Linked DNA regions of Arabidopsis thaliana. The protein of the gene in region 1 interacts with the protein of each later gene in a pairwise test. Each region holds a gene or a part of one and is shown on either strand. Other genes may lie near its edges.

Region 1 (4,034 bases):
CGTGGGGTTTAGAAGAAAGACAAGAAATAGAAGAACAATGATGTTAAATTGCCTATTTTGGTGTATAGGAGTTGTCAAAAGAGGAGAGAGAGAAGAAAATTAGGTCAAAATAATGAGCACTAAAAATGGAGACATGTGTTGAGTAACTATTACAAGAGCGACTTATGCTTCCTTATGGCAATGATATCCAAACCAAAGTGCAACGCTCCTTTTTTGCCCTAATTTCGTAAAGTCTCTCTCCTTCTTCGTCCTTAGGAAAAACCCTAGAAATTTAATCCCTTGTTCTTGATCTTGCTTTTTGAGTAACCATGATTTTGACCACACACTATTTCTTCTATCTTTTGTGGTCTATAGGATTTTGCTTTATATGTGTTTCTTGTATTGCTCCGTACGTACGTATACGAATTTAAATGGTTATAACAAGGTTTATATAAACTAGCACAAATGAGTCCATGAAATTTGTTAGCGAAAAAGGTAGAAATATATTGAGTCTTTAAACGGCAATATATATAATTTTGCTGCAAAACTTAGCTTTAATCATGATCTAATGATATTTTCTTTAATTTCCTTTGCCAAATTAATCACATGCACGGATTTTTGGCAAGTTATGTGTCGAATTCTTCCATTCACACAACACTAAACTTAATTAGAACTCTAGGAAATATTTTAAAATGACAACTTTATCGAAAAAAATTTAGTTATGAAAACAATTCCAGAATTAAACATGAGCTATATAATTTAAGATAAAATGAAGTAATATTGATATGTATGTAATAACATATCTGATTGCGGTAAAAAAAAACATATCTGATTAAATTGTTCATGCAGGCCCATGTCACTATGATGTCATCACGTTTTTATTTTCACAATAACTAATATATATTCAAAAAAATAGTTTTGTCAGATTAAATTTTTTTTGGTGGTCAGCTTTCTCCAACCTACTAAACTAGTTTGGAATGTTCTCTTCTTTATTTTTCTTTTTCTTGATTTCTTATGTTTTTTATTTATGGAATTTTAAGACGGATTGTTTAGGTCGTTTCTCTCTTTTCTTGTTTTCTAAAGTTACTTTTGTAAACTCATCTCCTCCCAATTAGACAGTCAATCATATAGTTATCTTTTAATATATGTCTAGTTGATAAAAAAAATGAAAAAATACTGGTGGTAGTTCTACTAATGTTTGTGTAAAAAATCTGATATTATGAATCTAATCAATTTCTTTGATCGTATAATGTGGGTTAAATTTAGTAATTTTTTACATAAATAAGAACTGTAATGTTGATGTATATTGGGGAATCAGTATATTAGCTTGGGTAACTATACTTCTGGAAATACTTGAAGATTTAACTATTTGCAAAATTATAATTTAGTCCCGAAAAATACAGACGACGGGACACGACAACATATAAGCAGGTTTGAATCTTGGAAAATTTTGTATACATAACCTATATAAATACTAATGTTCTGGTTGGGTTCAAAAGCCTTTTCAAAAGTTCCATTTTTTAAATTCAAGGACATTTTACATAGGAAATAAGTTGAGTCATAAAAAATAATGGTTATTTTGTAAGGTTTTTTTTTTGATTAAAACGCACATATTAAGAAGTTAGTTTTTTTTCACTACCAAATATCAATTAATTTAAAACCATGCAACCATTCATAAAACAATACTATTAAAGAATATAAATAATCACAAAATATTAAATACACTTAAAATTTACATATAAATTTACAAAACATCTAATTAATTGAAACAGAAAGGAAAAGGTAAAATATATCATAAAATGAGACATATATCCTATAAAAAAAAAATGAGGCATATGAAGTAAATAATAAGAGACATGCATGTAAGCATTCGGTTAATTAATCGAGTCAAAGATATATATCAGTAAATACATATGTGTATATTTCTGGAAAAAGAATATATATATTGAGAAATAAGAAAAGATGAAAATGGAAAATGGTATGTATAAAAAGAAAGGAGTGTGCGACTCTTGTGTCTCGTCCAAAAGCAGATCCAACCACAGCCCCAAAAGAAGCATGATGGAGCCTCAGCCTCACCATCTCCTCATGGATTGGAACAAAGCTAATGATCTTCTCACACAAGAACACGCAGCTTTTCTCAATGATCCTCACCATCTCATGTTAGATCCACCTCCCGAAACCCTAATTCACTTGGACGAAGACGAAGAGTACGATGAAGACATGGATGCGATGAAGGAGATGCAGTACATGATCGCCGTCATGCAGCCCGTAGACATCGACCCTGCCACGGTCCCTAAGCCGAACCGCCGTAACGTAAGGATAAGCGACGATCCTCAGACGGTGGTTGCTCGTCGGCGTCGGGAAAGGATCAGCGAGAAGATCCGAATTCTCAAGAGGATCGTGCCTGGTGGTGCGAAGATGGACACAGCTTCCATGCTCGACGAAGCCATACGTTACACCAAGTTCTTGAAACGGCAGGTGAGGATTCTTCAGCCTCACTCTCAGATTGGAGCTCCTATGGCTAACCCCTCTTACCTTTGTTATTACCACAACTCCCAACCCTGATGAACTACACAGAAGCTCGCTAGCTAGACATTTGGTGTCATCCTCTCAACCTTTTTCATGTTGATATATTATATATAGATGCATAAAGATTCGATCCAAGATTGTATGGGTGTTTTAATATTATTATTCTAAGATATATGATGTACAATTGTGTACCAAGTTTCTTTATCTTGATATCATATGCATAAATAATTGGTGAATAAAAAGAAGATATTGATTGTAAACAAAAAAAAGAAGATATTGATTGTTAATTAGGGTTTGATCATTCTGTATGAAAGCTTTGGCCTGCAAATTAATTTTCGATATATATATATATATATGGAGAATATATATCAAATACTTTTTTAATTTGACTATAATTTGTATCAATTATCTGAATCTGATGAGTGTAGGTTATATATGGATTAGCAAAAAAGAAAACAACCATTATTACGCACCTACATTAAAAATCATCCACCAAAGAAGAAACCATCCTCAAGAGGGTTCCCATATTGGAGAATAATGAAAAATTTAAGAAGAAAAGGGTCGAGATTTCGACGGACAAGCATTCTGATTATTACAAACATATTTTAGAGAAATTTAGAAAGAAAATTAAACTAAAAATTAAAAAGAAGCAAACTGAGATAACTCTCTGTCTCAATGGAACGCCGGCCAGAAGTGATCATCGTGATTTTGGTTACCATCTTGATAAGGTCAATCGAGGAGTGTATCCGTTTCAAACACCACACGTCCACTATATTTCGCCAAGTTAAATTGAAAGGAAGATGAACAATCAAGAGATGTGGTAGTTATTTTGAATTAAGCATATCCAAAAAGACCCTAGGCGAAGCTGAGAGATCGCAAGTTCGAGTGACACTTGGAACGAAACTAATATTACATGATGTGGTTTCGGGCCTAAAGGAATTACGGGCTTCGGCCCAGAACCTCCTGATATTCAAAAAAAAAAAAAAAAAAGATGTTTATAATAATGATCTTTGAAATTAAACCTCTACATTTATCATAATATTCCTAAATAGTACGTAAATAAAAAACATGCAACCCATGCATATCCAGTCTTAAGTTTATACATATAGATAAATCTCAAACCATACAAATACCATTGTTCTTGTGATTTTTTACTTCCATTTCCTTTTTCCTCCAACGGTGTCATATAAAGCTAACAAATAACTCGTGATTAAACGGACATTTCCAATATGGGCTTTTGGGCCCATAGTGATATGGGTCTCCTTCCGATATCTTTGACTGCGCGTGCCTCCAAAGTTGCTGTAGAGAACAGAAAGAGGCCTTCGATCCTGGCTTTGTCCAGACAAAAGCTGCCTCATCTACCTGGAACTTCGGTCGAGGTAGTGGTGAAGGGGGGATATGTAATCTCAGACAACTCCACAGGTGACAAAACTAGACGTAATCCTAATGGGGACAGGGTCGGAGCTAGAGATAGCTGCAAAGGCTGGAGAGAAGCTAAGAGAAGAAAGAAAAGCAGTGAGAGTAGT
Region 2 (5,115 bases), on another chromosome or scaffold:
CTCTGCCAGCGACAGAAATGGGAGGAGACGATGGTGATAATGATAATGAAGATGATGATGATTCCGAGGGTCGTTTATCAGAGACTATGGAGGTTTTCACGGCGGCTTCATCTTCATCATCATCAGGAATCTCGGGATATGGATCAGCCATGTCCTTATATGATGATGATATTGATGAGGAAGAAGATGAATGTTATAGTGATGTGGAAGGAGGAGACGATATGATTGATGAGAAAGCTGAGGTTCTATGCAATAATGAAGATGCAAAATCAGGTTTACACTGATCGTTGCAAAGCCAAAGGGATATATAGTGATGCATTAATGATCTTATTAATTATGGTTCGTATCATCTATCAAGTTTACGTCATCATCATTCAGGTTTTAATTTCTTGGTCATTTTTGGTTTTTGTATTATAATTTAATTTAATTCCTTTTAACTTTTTCTTCATTTTTGTTTCTGTAATTAGTGAGTGTATTTGAATTCATTAATGAGAAAATAGGAGAATGAAGTATATCTACTAAATTCTATTTGTGTTTGTGGGGAATGTTAAATTTGGTTTGCAGATTAAAGATCTCGTTAAATATTTTATGTTCAATGTTTTCAATCGGAAATTGGTCATATTAATAGCACATTTGACCAATTCATTGAATCGAGTTCTTTTCGAAAATTGAAGACTTTGATAATACCAACCGTTTATATTATGCATGGACATATGCGTAAGTGAAAAATCATACTGAGCGATGGTAACAATTACACAGTTGATTCCATTTCGTGAAAAACTCATAGAAACAACGGTGACAAATGAAGTTTCCATAGCCAAGAATTGGATCCTCGCCATACGATTAACCTACCGAGATGAACCAACGGTGATCATCTCTCTAAACTCCAAGACCAATCCTCAAGATGATGCAAAAATCTCGACTCTTCAACTATGCATCAAAACCAAATGCCTCATACTCCAACTACTTCATATGAAACAAAATACCAATCTCGGCGAATGCCTTAGTGATCTATTTCGTGATGAGAGGTTTGTTTTTGTAGGAATAGGTATTGCTAAAACTGTCGCTAAGCTCGGTGGGCTAGTTAGAGTAGTGGTTAAGAAAGTTGACGTTCGTGATCTGGTAAAGGTAAATTTTCCATTTAGTTATGGTGAGAGGTCAAGGGTTAGCTTGAAGGGTATGGCTTGTGAGTTGTTGGGATTTGGTTCGTGGAAACCGAAGAGGGAGATTTGTCCGAGAGACTTGGCTAATGAAGTTCTTGATGTAGAGGTGGTTAAGTTCTTGTCCGTTGATGCTTATGTTTGTCATGAAATAGCGTTTAAGATGCTTAAATACCAGGCCCAATTTATTGTAATCAGATTCATAAAACATTACTTTACTGAGCAAACGTTGGGCCGATATTGGGCTAATTTATATAATAAAGCCTCTTTATTAAAGTCAAAAGACAGGTCAGCATTAGTAATCACTATATTACTAAAATCGCGCTATACCTTTTGTAGACGTTGCGATTTCAAATTCAAAAGTTGTGGCAATATCGTGATTAATACTAAAGCCTAAGCCCAATATCGTCTTTTACCCGTAGCCTCCTCGAATCCCGACGTCACGTTGTATAAATTATATCGCATCACTCCAAAACCCTGATTCTCCTGCTCCTTCGTCTTCTTCATCTTCCTCTGAGAAATCAAAAACTCGATCGATCAATTCGTTGTTCGTCTACATCGATTCCTTCAGAACCTAGTGATCCTCTGTTTTGGTTGATTCGATTAAGCTAACCATGTCTTACAAACCAAGCGCGAAGACTGAGGTTCGCCGGAACAGGTATAAAGTATCTGTGGACGCCGATGAAGGTCGCCGGAGACGGGAGGATAACATGGTGGAGATCCGGAAGAACAAGAGAGAGGAGAACTTGCAGAAGAAGCGGCGTGAAGGTTTTAATCCTTCCATGGCGTCACAGCCAGGGCAGGATTTCTCCTCGTCTCTCCCTACGGAAACGAGAGTACGTTCTTCGTGTTCTATATCTAATTGATTGTGTTTCTCTCGTTTATGTTTGGTACCGAATTTAGATTGAGAACTAGTTAGGGTATCTCGGTGAATTAGAATGAAATTGAAAGCTTCTGATCTAGTTACCTAGATAAATAATTGGATCAGGAGTACTGAATTTTGGGGTTTACTGAACCCTAATTTCAGAATCTGCATTGCTTGAGGTTAGATAATAAGTTGCCCTGATTCAATTGCAGTTGGAGAATATACAACAGATGATTGCTGGAGTAATGTCAGAGGATAGAGACTTACAATTGGAGGCGACGGCTAGCTTCAGGAGATTGCTTTCAATTGGTACGTGATTTATAAATCTCTTAACATGGCGTTTAGGGTTTGATTGTTTTGTGGGTTTTAGTTTTTGCTTATTGTGGTTGGTTGAATTTTTTGTAGAGCGAAATCCTCCAATCAATGAAGTTGTTCAATCTGGTGTTGTTCCTCACATTGTGCAATTTCTTTCCAGGGATGACTTCACTCAACTTCAGGTGAGCTTGCCTTTCTTATATCTAAGTGTAGCTTGGTGCTTTGATTCATATGCTGATGGCTTTTGCTGTTTGCTTTGCTTGTATAACTATAGTTTGAGGCAGCTTGGGCGCTTACCAATATCGCTTCAGGGACATCTGAGAACACTAGGGTCATTATTGATAGTGGTGCTGTCCCTTTATTCGTCAAACTTCTTAGTTCTGCAAGTGAGGAAGTTCGAGAACAGGTATCAATTTAGATTCAATATCAATTTTCTTTCTATTGTTCTGGCAAAGAAACTCTTAGATCAAATTGCTGATGACTCGATTCCGACTGTTTTAACATCCTGATTTCTATGTTTTTTTCCCCTGATTATAGGCTGTATGGGCATTGGGAAACGTTGCTGGTGACTCGCCAAAATGTCGTGATCATGTCCTAAGTTGTGAGGCTATGATGTCTCTTCTGGCTCAATTCCATGAGCATTCAAAGCTCTCCATGCTGAGGAATGCTACATGGACATTATCAAATTTCTGCAGAGGGAAGCCGCAGCCTGCATTTGAACAGGTTTCCTTGCATATAAGATATATAAACCAATTTGAAGTGTTTTTTCTCAACTGTTTATTAATATGAGAATGTGTCATTGCATTTGTTGAGCAGACAAAAGCAGCTTTACCAGCTCTTGAGCGCCTTCTGCATTCAACCGACGAAGAAGTTCTCACAGATGCATCCTGGGCTCTCTCATATCTCTCTGATGGTACAAACGAGAAAATACAAACTGTTATCGACGCTGGTGTCATCCCTCGCCTTGTTCAGCTCTTGGCGTAAGTAATTTTCTTTTAGCTACCAATTCTATATCATTCACATATATCTTGACCTGATCTCGTTATCTGTGTCTTCTTAGTCATCCATCGCCCTCAGTTCTGATTCCAGCTCTCCGTACAATTGGTAACATTGTAACCGGAGATGATATTCAGACTCAGGTAGTCTATTATCCGTAACTGTCTGCCTTTTATATCTCCTATAGTTTTGATGTTTACTTAAGTAAATCATCTCTGTTTTCTCCATAACAGGCGGTTATTAGCAGTCAAGCGCTTCCTGGTCTGTTAAACCTTTTGAAGAACACATACAAGAAGAGTATCAAGAAGGAAGCTTGCTGGACTATCTCTAACATTACAGCTGGGAACACAAGTCAAATTCAAGTGAGTTATATACATTATTAACAAATAACAATGTTCAAAAACCAATATCTTTTCTTATAATTTAAAACCAGAAGTCGTATATACATTTGGATTTAACATCGATAAATTTGTTGTGCAGGAAGTGTTTCAGGCAGGCATTATTCGGCCTCTGATTAACCTGCTTGAGATCGGTGAATTCGAAATTAAGAAAGAAGCTGTTTGGGCAATCTCTAATGCAACTTCTGGTGGCAATCATGACCAAATCAAGTACAACAAATCTCATTGTTTCTGTCTCTTTTTAGTTTTTTTTTCAGTGATTCTTGTTATAGAACCTCTTATATCCTTGCAGGTTTCTCGTGAGCCAAGGCTGCATCAGACCCCTGTGTGATCTCCTACCGTGTCCCGATCCAAGGGTTGTCACAGTGACTTTGGAAGGTCTAGAAAACATTCTCAAAGTAGGTGAAGCCGAGAAGAATCTAGGCAACACAGGAAACGATAATCTGTACGCGCAGATGATTGAAGACGCAGATGGTTTGGACAAGATTGAGAATCTTCAGAGTCACGATAATAATGAGATTTATGAGAAAGCAGTCAAAATCCTGGAGTCGTATTGGGCTGCAGATGACGAGGAGGAAGATATTGGCGGTGTGGATGCTCCTGAGAATGTTCAGTCTTCCGGTTTCCAATTCGGAAACCAAAGTGGTAATGCTCCTACGGGTGGATTCAACTTTGGTTGAAGGTTTCTGTAGTATTCTCTCAGTTGCTTGAACTTAAGAACAAAGGTCGCTCGTTGTCTTTTCTAAAAACAGTTTAGGTTTTTTTTTCTCTTTTTTGGGTCATGTTTTGAGTGAATTTTGTATTTTTAGAAGTTTGGATATTTTGTTCTCTCGCGTTTAAGGCGGAAATTAAAGTGTTTCACTATCTGCTCTGCTATGTGCTTTTTAAGCTCTCCTGCTAAAAACAATTATGAAATAAATGCGATAAAAATGACTTCTTAAAGCTTCAAAATTTATGCAGAATCAACATCTACATGTCTTATTTACGCAAAAATCAGTTTAATGTTAATGCGTGACAAAATAAGAAGGAAAATAGACAATCAAAGTCGCGAATTAAATTGCAAATATTTAGTTAGGTAATGCGTTATAATGCAATTTTAATACGATCACAATAACTATATACTATTTATTTTTTAATGATCAATTTATTTTTTAAAGTTAGTATACATAAAAGTTTGCAAATTGTATTTATCTATAAAATATTTTTATTTTATAGTTTATAATTGTTATTAAGTAACGTCCTGCCAAACTCGTCCCGCCAACTCGTCCCATAAAAAAAACATTTATTTTATTAATGTTAATCTTATTTCTGATATGTTTATGAATTATTGTCTAATTATTTTGTAATTTTGTAGTAATTATATGCTATCAAATATCTCTGC
Region 3 (4,820 bases), about 17 Mb from region 1:
TGTTTTTTAGGAGAGGGTCGTCACTGAGTCTTTAACAAAAAGAGAATGACGAAACTTTAGTATCTAAATTTTTTTCAAGTTTCAACTACAGTCGCATTCAAATATATTTTGTTCTCTGATATTTTCACCGAAAGAGAATCCTAATTACTTTTCCTTTTTTCAAAATATATCGTTGTATGATTTTACTTTTATTGTTGTTTTACAAATAAAATAAAATAAATAAATTGTATGTTCAATACTAGTTTTTGAAAAAAATATAAGATTTATGTATTTTCAATCCAATTTTAAATAAAGTTCTAGCTCTGTCCCTTTTACTTACTAAAGATTAATTGGAGAACTAAAGCTATAAGTATACTAATTAAGGGTTAATAAGATATTTAAGCATTTTTTAATTATCATAAAAGATCTTAAAACAACACTTATAAATGAAAAACTTTTAAAAGACACTTACAAATGAAATTACTAATATACCAAATGTAAGTACAAAAATGTGAAGGGTAAAAGATTTTAAAAAATTGTATTGTAAATGATCAATTTGAGAACAAGAGATACCAAAAGAACATGGTCAACCTTAAAGATACCAAATCCATCTTGTAGAATCGAAAACTTCTCTAGAAGCTTATCGGGGTAATTTACATATCCAAAGCCATCGAGTATCAAACTCTCAAATACAATACGAAGATGATCTAGAAAATTTACATCCACCATAAACATACAACAATCTAACAATTAGTCAATTACTTTGTAATAAAATTTCAGTCCTTTTTATATATAGCTATTAGATCCAAAAGATTAGACTCTAGAATTCGTGTCACCAACAATTGATTTTAAATAGAACCTTAGAAAAAATAAAGACAGTTAAATGCATCTCCATTGTCAGACAGCTTTATGGCTTGCGTTCTAAGAAACAAGAACACATAGAGATCCCGAAGTTGGGACACTGTTCAAGTAATTCGATCTTTTAGGTCAGGTTGTCCATCAAACAGAGCTTGTTCCCCTGCAAATCCCCAAATATCGTAACGTTATTAACATTGTAAATGTCCTAAAACTTCCTTAGGATTCCAAAACAACAAGACTTTACCGGTTATGTTTGCGTTGGAATGACCAATGTTCAACCTTGGATGAGTTAACCCACCTTCCCGACTCATCTCCTTAAGTAACAAAAAAAAATTAGTAAGCAAACTAGCTTTATGGTTATAGAATGAAAAATGTGTAATTCAACTACGCACCACGGGTGAAGTAAGGAGAGGGAAAGGTCCAAAGTGACTGCGAATAGAAGGTTCCAAAGCGTATGAAGAAGCCACAGTATTGATCATTTCCGGTGCATTAGAAGTCGAAGCAAACTGATTGGTATGATTAAGCAGAGGATCATTGGTTGCTTCAGGGGGTCGAATCTGAGAGAGTTGCAATGGGTGTAATGTAGTTCCAGGTAAACACAAAGGATGCAAGTTTATTCCATTTCTCATAGTCAACATCTGCAAATATCAGAACAAAAAAAGACTTATGTCAGAATATAGACTGGTTTTAGGATTTTGGTTATAATGATAAACATAAGGTATCTTTAGTGACCTGAACTTGGAGCTGAAGCTGTTTCAGATACTCAATGGCTTCATCAAGCATTGAAGCCTTATCCGTCTTCCCCAATAAACACATTGCAATAATCAGACACAAAAAGAATCTACAGAAAATAGAATGATTCATGTAGATGTCTCTCTATATATAGTATCATTACCTTATTTGAATTAGGGATGAGACTTTGTAAAGCTTTCATTTTTTCATTAATTCTACTTCTCCTCCTCTGTTACAAGAAAGATAAACATAAATCTCAAATAAGAAAGTTTCTACTTTTGGGAGAGACTCTAAACCAAACCTTCTCAGAGAGATTATGAACTTCAGCAGCTCTGCATCTTTTAGATGAACTACGAGAAGAAGGACCTGACTTGGAAGAGGGAGCTTCATCAACTACAGCTTCTCCTCCTTCCTGTATTTTCATTGAAGCAAATTATCAAACACTCGGTGTGCATTCATTATTACACTCACAAATGACAAAACTTCACTCAAAATCACAACCAAAAAAATTGCGGATTTTAAGGGGGAAAATAAAGTACAGATCCGTTAAAGAGAAATCTCTGTAGAAACATTTTCTCGGGAAAGAGACAAAGAATCAACTTTTAAAACATGCAAAAGATAAAAAACAGAGATTGAGAAAAAACCTCGCTTTCACAGTCATACTCATCTGTCTCGTTGCCACTAGCTCCAACGGAAGAAGACGATACTCGAGTCCCAGAGCTATTTCCTTGAACGTTGTTATTATTACCACCACCGGAGAAACCAAAACACGCGGCGGCTGAGCCTGATCCTCCGCCGATTAAAACCTCAGAGAAATCTCCGACACGTTTCGACATAAGCACAGAATCTGACGGTGGATGATGAGAAACGAGACTTCTCGAGTTATCTGCATGTGGGTCACCGCTCCCGTGCACACCAATCAAAGACGCCGTCGTTGTAGTCGTCGCCGGGGAGTAGTAAGAAGGTAAAGGAGAAGAACGGTCGAAAATATGCCGGAGAAACTGAGAGATTTCGTCGGAAGAAGACGGAGGATGATGAAGATGATGATTGATACGAGTATCGTAAACCGAGGAAGAAGAAGAAGATGAAATCAATTTCTTATCTCCCATCACTCTCTGCTTCTTCTCTTCTCTTTCTTCTCTCTGTGATATCATTACACCAACAACAAAAAAAAAGCAGTTAAAGCTAAAACATTTTTTTTTTTAAACAGTCTTTGAGATTTTATGGGCATGGAGAGAGGGAGAGTGTCTGTCACGCGCCAGCTAAGAAAACAGAGGTTAAAATGATTGGTCTGTCATTTAGTTAAAAGTGAAGGTAGCTGTTACTGTAGCATTAGCAATGAGCTTGTGTCAGCTCACGGTTTTTCAAACTAGTCGTAAATATTAAATGTTTTTACTCTCCCAAAACTTTTCCTCGTCGCACGTGAGACACACTAAACTACTACTCGTAGTTAGTTTTTTTTTTTTTTGGGGTAACAAATAATATACAACCTTTATCTGTTTTCTCATAGTTTATTATTTAAAATGGAAATCTGCTACGGATGAAATCGATAAAGTTAATATTCATATCATTTAGAAGAAAACAAAAACTGTATTTGTATATCTCAAAGTTTAATCTGATGGAGAGATTTTTAAGAAGTCCATTAATCTATAGAAAACGAAAGTTATACGTCTTGGTTGTTTGACAAAAGTATTTCCATTTCTAGTAATTTGTTTTTTTACTTGTTACCATTAATTAGTATTCAAATTTTGTATGATATTGTAACCCGTGGCGTGATAAACAAGAATACATTAGTTGCTTGTTTGCTAGTTTATTCTATTGACTAGTATATAAGAAGCCCATGCTACTGACATGCGTTAAATTACTTGCGACTTTGATTTGTTCTTGTGTTGTGAAAATTATTAACTTTACGGTGTGTGTTTTCAACTATATACCTCGTTCGTATGCTTTCAAATTGGAACATAACATCTGCTATAATTAACTATCGAATTTTTAGTAAATTCATTTTATATGATCCAGCTTTATATCTAGTGTTTTATAGTAAGTTTTATAGAATAATTCTATAAATAATGATGACCACGTTCACATATCCAATTTGCGGCGAACAAAGTGAATGCACGAAAGTTTCCAATTGCGTTCTCAACTGTGCAGACAGCAGCATCAATTCTTTAATGAAGTATTTTTAAAATATTGGTCGTAAATTTGTAAATATATTTTGATCGTTCGCAGCGTATGAAGACTTAAAAAAAAAGAAGTTAAAGTTATATATATTTACACTATATAGTTGTTAGTAGTATTTTATTTTAGTTTTTGCACTGAAAACATCAATCGTACTTGTTCGCTTGATGAATGCACAAACTGCATCATTTATTTCATTGCAACATTCACTTAACCTCGTATATACAATTTTTGAAACAAAGGAAAAGCATATGGGAGACAATTGCTAAAAGCTGCAGCTATTTGTTCAGCATCTGCTTTTGATTCAATTATTTTATTAAGTTCGTTTTTCTGGTACTATTTATACATATACAAAATAATTGTTTTATTAAATATCAGAATTAGAAAGTGACATTGTAGAGTCCAAATGCTTATAGTGGAATTTGTAATTGAGAACATACACAACAAAATGCGAAAAAAAATAATGAAAAAAGCGTTTAATCGTCAAATTAAACAAGGGATCTGATTTTACTCAATTACTCAACATACATATCTCATTATTTTGAATATCCTTATCAAATTCAACAAGATATACACATAAAAAGACAAGATTTACTACGGCTTCTAGAATTGTCAAAGATATTAATGAAACGATGGTTGAGATCTCTTTAATAATTTGTTCAAAATCAGCATGATACACTTTTTATTTTGTCTAGATTCTAAGAAGATAGTTGAATGTTTTCTCTGGTTTTTTAATTGGTGGTTTGATAGAATTTTCAAGTTGAGTCTCTGTATGTTAAAAGACCCATACCTCGTTGTCTTGTCTGATTTGAAAGTCGGAAAACAAAATAAAAAACAAAGATGATCCTAAACTTCTTTTTCACCTTTTATCATCGTTTCCCTTTTTCTTTATATAAAACACTGGCAATATCATATTTACTCATATACAACTATTTACCCATCTAAAACAGACCAAAGTTTCCGTAATACATATGCACCATAACAAGGATAACATAAATCAAACTCACGCTATTAAAAAGATCAATGTTTTTTAAGTTGTTCGTTGGTAGTTTCGAAGACAAACCAACCATAAG
Region 4 (4,239 bases), on another chromosome or scaffold:
CTTCATGATGATGTTGACGAACTCAACTTCAGAGTGCAACAATCAAACCAACGTGGTCGCCGTTTGCTTGGAAAGTAGATGAACAGAGGGTTTATATGTTCATTACACTCATTCCTCGTTTGTTTTATTCTCTATGAAGTTGTTCTTTAAAACTGGAAAGATTCTTATCATGTTAAATACATTATTGCTATCTGTGTTTGTATTTGATCTTGTGACAAAAAACCAAAAAACTTATTGATCAAACAGAAGCAACTTTGGTATCGTTTTTATCTGTATCATAAAGCTTTCTCAAGAAATTCTGATAATAGATGAAATTATGAGTTTTAATCTCAGATTTATAACCTAAAAATATCAGTGCTAGAATACGACATAAGAATACAGAAACTCCAGACAAGTTGGAACATATGTTATGCAACAACTGCACAATCATGTGAGATTATTCAAAAGAACAAAAAAACCAGGAACTCTTCATTCCCTTTAGTCTTCCTCAGCTACAATCCAAGGGATATATTCCACAATGTCCTCTTCTTCACTTGTATAATGTCTGAAGCCATAAAACACAAAGACTACTAATGAGAACTAGACAAAGCAATCTGACATAGTTGGAAAGAACTATGAATAGAGGAAATAATAATCTCATACAAACACCACTTGTTCCCGAATCATATTCTCAAGCCACAAACTCGACAATCAATGAATATAAAGTGGCTCCAACATGACCATTAAAAACAAATAGCTTTGGAGGATATTGTAATGACAAACATACATCTACTGAAGCTTGACTTCCATGATGTTCTTGGTCTTGGGAGGATATGCCAAGTAAACCTTGAGCACTCTCTCAGCAACAAAAAGCTGTTTTTTAGCTTCAGCATAAGCCTCAGTCACCTTCGATGGGTCAGTGAGATTCTTGTTCATGCGGAAGCCATCCAAGGTCCTTCGCTTACTGTACTCCCTAATGTTGTAATCAGGGAATTGACGTCCCGCTCGAAGCAAGGCACGACATAGGCTAAGAACTTCACTACTAGACACCATTGCAAGATTGGAAACTAACCCTTAATTATACAAAGCCTGGTTAACTGCAATCAGTATAAGAACACAAAGAAGCTGAGATTAGCAATGCCGAAAAGGAAGAGAAGTAGTCAAGATGATCAAGGGATAAAGCTATACACTTCGACATGTAACAAGAAGTTATATAGATAAGTGAAAAGTATTAAGGACCAGTACATCATTTATAGAGCAAAAGAACCTAGATTCAGTAACATTAGTATATAGATAAGTATTGATTTGAGTAGTGTATATAAGGTATGAGAACCAGTTGCTGCAACATTAGAAACTAGGCACTAGAGTTCATGAAAATACGCAAAAGAACCAATATTAACTAATCGCAAACGCTTAAAACAATCAAGAAGAAACCTTAAAAGGCCATAAACGCACTTAGTAATCCTAAACTTCAGTAAAATGGATGAAATTGCAGTCACAGCCAAAAGAGACAATACATCTGAATCATGAGAGGATCCGATAAGCATAGAATTTGACGATAACGAGCTCCAGATACATATACATACCGAATCAAATCGTCGGAGAGTATTAATTTCCCGAGCTCGCCGTTGAAGTTCTCCGTTCGAAGGTTTTGATAGCAGCAAGCTGGGTCGTTCGGGGGAATAAATAAACTTTTAGGTTTACCCAAAACTAAACCGGGAAAACTGATTTGGGAACCGGATCAATTTTAGATTGAGTAAGAAAAGAACCGGTTTTAGAATGGGCTAGACACAAAGGCCTGTTAAATTGGGCCAATATGTGATAAGCCAGCCTTTTTTAATGAAGGTGTATGAGCTGGCATATTCGACAAGAAATAGTAAACAAAACCGATATTTATCATTCTCTGTCACGCCTTCTTCCTTCTCTACACGAATTCGATTCTCTCTTATCTCGACGAGAAAACCCTACTGCGAAAAAACTCCGATCTCTCTGGCGAGAAGTAAATTTTTATCTCTGAGCTTGGTTTCACCATTTCTCTATCTCTATCTCCTCGCTGGGTTACGGTACGAGCCTCTCAAACTTTTCGATTCCTTGTGTTCATAAGTATGTGTGAAAATCCTTGCGTGTCGAGATTGATTTTTCTCTTTTTCGTTTCGGATTCATCGTTGGATTCTTATTTCGTCAATGTTTTTCTGTGATTTGTTCTGATTCATGTGTAATTTGTAGCTGACTTGATTGGTGATCGATGATTAAAATTTGTACTCGTTAGTTCCCCCTTGATTCGATTGATTTTGTCTCTGTGAGGGTATTTTTTCTGATTCTATTGTATTGTTTGTAGATTTGCCAATATTAGAGACTACAAGTGTCGTAATTGGATTCTGAATGAACTTTTGAAACTCTACACGAGCTGGATTGTTGTGTTATTTATATTACAGAGAAATTTATAGCATTTTTGTTGTGTTCATCTGGTTTTCACTAATTTGGTTTTCTTCTCCATCTTTTGTTGATAGGTTTGGTAAGGTCAGTGTTCTCTAAGGCTGAAATTTGGGGGTTTCTCAGTCTCGATGTGGTCGTGCTCCGTTAGGATTCTTCACAATCATTAGGGTTATATTTCTTACAAACTGATGCTCATTTTCTCTTCCCTGTCTATGGCTTTATCTGTGATCCTTCAAAAGCTTAGTGTCTTCGGCCCTGGTTTGAATCCTTCTTTCCCTTACTGCATCGCCAATCACTCCTTTGCCTCCCGTTAATTGAGTTGCTCTCTTTCAACTTAATTACATTAGTCTGCTTCCTTTGCTGTCTAGTCTGGATAGTGTTGCAAATCAAGTAGTATCTTCTTTAGACATTCTTGGCTGAGAGATTTACACTAAAAGCATAGAATAAGAAACCCCTGTTTGGTTAGTATCTACCCGAGTCTCGTAGTCCTACACAGATCCGGATCCTAGTTTCGAAGCTAGTTCTTGTTTAGCTGAAGCTCAGACCCAAAATGCTCCAAGAACCGTCGGCTGCATTCTCCCTCCGGCGTAACTCATTCAGACGCCGATCTCCCAGATCAAATGTCGATGACAGAGGCTGGAATCCGCTCCATATCAAAGCCAGAAAAGGCGATCTGAAATCTGTCAAGCAGCTTCTCGACCAAGGAATGGATGTGAATGCTCTAGCATGGGGACCCAAATCAAAAGGAGTGAGTGCACTTCACCTTGCAGCAGAGGGAGGTCACATTGAAGTCATGGATTTACTCCTAGAACGTGGGGCCAACATTGATGCTAAAACATGGGGCTCATGCGGGTGGACTCCTCTCCACGCTGCAGCCAAAGAGCGGAAGAGAGAAGCAGTGAAGTTTCTGGTGGAGAACGGCGCATTCTTGGCAGATGATATAACTGATACCAGGTTTAATCCGCCGGTGCATTACTGTCACGGCCTTGAATGGGCGTACGAGGAAATGAAGAAGCTTAACAGCGAGTCTTCTTCTTCATCTGGTGGAGACACATCTTCCAGTTCTGACAACTGAACTTCTTCTTGGTTGTTTCTCGGTGTGTTTTGTTTTGTTTTCTAGTTGAGACTACTTATCAGAACTATTATGGTTGGTGTTTGATCTTATGGGCTATGTGAAACATTGAAACTGCGGATACATTCATGTAATCTTCAGTGTGTTATTTTGCAACTCCAGTTTGATATCCTAGCCGAATTTGATTTGTTTAACCGGTTCTGGATCAACCAAAAATATGAGATAATCGGTTTTGGTCTCTTATGAATCATTAAGTCTAAAAATTAATGCAGGTAATTGACATAGTGTGATTTAACATAATTGACATGGATATGTATATAGCTAGATTGCGAGGATGAAGCAAAGTTTTGCTCTTAATTGAGTTAGCACCATATGTTTCTAATCATTGTCATTTGTGTCTTAGGACATGTTTAACTAATTAAGGTAAGGAATGCAATAATTTTACACAAATGACAATTATTTGGTCGATACCCATTAACAAGATTGGTTCTATCTCTTCAATGAATGATTTGGTCGATACCCATTAACCAAAAAGAAAACATCCGGATCATTACCAGACCCGTCGGTGAGATAGCGGGTTTGAAATACACGGTATTCGGTTTACGAATCTCAGGAGGAGGAAGAGAAAATAAAAATGAGTTTTTTAATTTCGCTCTCTTCTTAGATCCCGTTTGTTCTCTTTCTCACTTTGGCTGTTTAAGCAAAAACCATGGCTTCTCGCTGTGAGCTACTTCTGATCTGCGTCTTCTCTC

What was found.
Region 2: the proteins of IND (region 1) and IMPA-6 interact in binary tests that used the Arabidopsis thaliana proteins (3 or more experiments, as listed by UniProt).
Region 3: the proteins of IND (region 1) and SPT interact in binary tests that used the Arabidopsis thaliana proteins (3 or more experiments, as listed by UniProt).
Region 4: the proteins of IND (region 1) and ANK6 interact in binary tests that used the Arabidopsis thaliana proteins (3 or more experiments, as listed by UniProt).

The regions. Positions count from the first base shown.
Region 1 is NC_003075.7:41,111-45,144, reverse strand, and holds IND (basic helix-loop-helix (bHLH) DNA-binding superfamily protein), read left to right. Parts: upstream 1-1,947; coding exon 1,948-2,544; 3' UTR 2,545-3,480; downstream 3,481-4,034. UniProt on the Arabidopsis thaliana protein: Transcription regulator required for seed dispersal. Involved in the differentiation of all three cell types required for fruit dehiscence. Acts as the key regulator in a network including SHP and ALC that controls specification of the valve margin.
Region 2 is NC_003070.9:582,623-587,737, forward strand, and holds IMPA-6 (importin alpha), read left to right. Parts: upstream 1-1,637; 5' UTR 1,638-1,774; coding exon 1,775-1,996; intron 1,997-2,237; coding exon 2,238-2,334; intron 2,335-2,430; coding exon 2,431-2,522; intron 2,523-2,614; coding exon 2,615-2,746; intron 2,747-2,877; coding exon 2,878-3,063; intron 3,064-3,153; coding exon 3,154-3,320; intron 3,321-3,400; coding exon 3,401-3,479; intron 3,480-3,569; coding exon 3,570-3,698; intron 3,699-3,816; coding exon 3,817-3,944; intron 3,945-4,026; coding exon 4,027-4,414; 3' UTR 4,415-4,597; downstream 4,598-5,115. UniProt on the Arabidopsis thaliana protein: Binds to conventional NLS motifs and mediates nuclear protein import across the nuclear envelope. Acts as a cellular receptor for the nuclear import of the virD2 protein of Agrobacterium, but is not essential for Agrobacterium-mediated root transformation.
Region 3 is NC_003075.7:17,412,070-17,416,889, reverse strand, and holds SPT (basic helix-loop-helix (bHLH) DNA-binding superfamily protein), read right to left. Parts: upstream 2,808-4,820; 5' UTR 2,724-2,807; coding exon 2,214-2,723; intron 1,982-2,213; coding exon 1,871-1,981; intron 1,799-1,870; coding exon 1,733-1,798; intron 1,636-1,732; coding exon 1,570-1,635; intron 1,476-1,569; coding exon 1,230-1,475; intron 1,152-1,229; coding exon 1,082-1,151; intron 998-1,081; coding exon 945-997; 3' UTR 504-944; downstream 1-503. UniProt on the Arabidopsis thaliana protein: Transcription factor that plays a role in floral organogenesis. Promotes the growth of carpel margins and of pollen tract tissues derived from them.
Region 4 is NC_003076.8:24,625,289-24,629,527, forward strand, and holds ANK6 (Ankyrin repeat family protein), read left to right. Parts: upstream 1-1,898; 5' UTR 1,899-2,042; intron 2,043-2,489; 5' UTR 2,490-2,965; coding exon 2,966-3,490; 3' UTR 3,491-3,680; downstream 3,681-4,239. Other genes in the region: SNAP33 (soluble N-ethylmaleimide-sensitive factor adaptor protein 33), read left to right, coding at 1-78; AT5G61220 (LYR family of Fe/S cluster biogenesis protein), read right to left, coding at 769-1,032; AT5G61240 (Leucine-rich repeat (LRR) family protein), read left to right, coding at 4,197-4,239. UniProt on the Arabidopsis thaliana protein: Promotes anthocyanin accumulation through interaction with PHYA, especially in response to far-red light, high light and sucrose treatment, probably by triggering A3G2XYLT/UF3GT expression.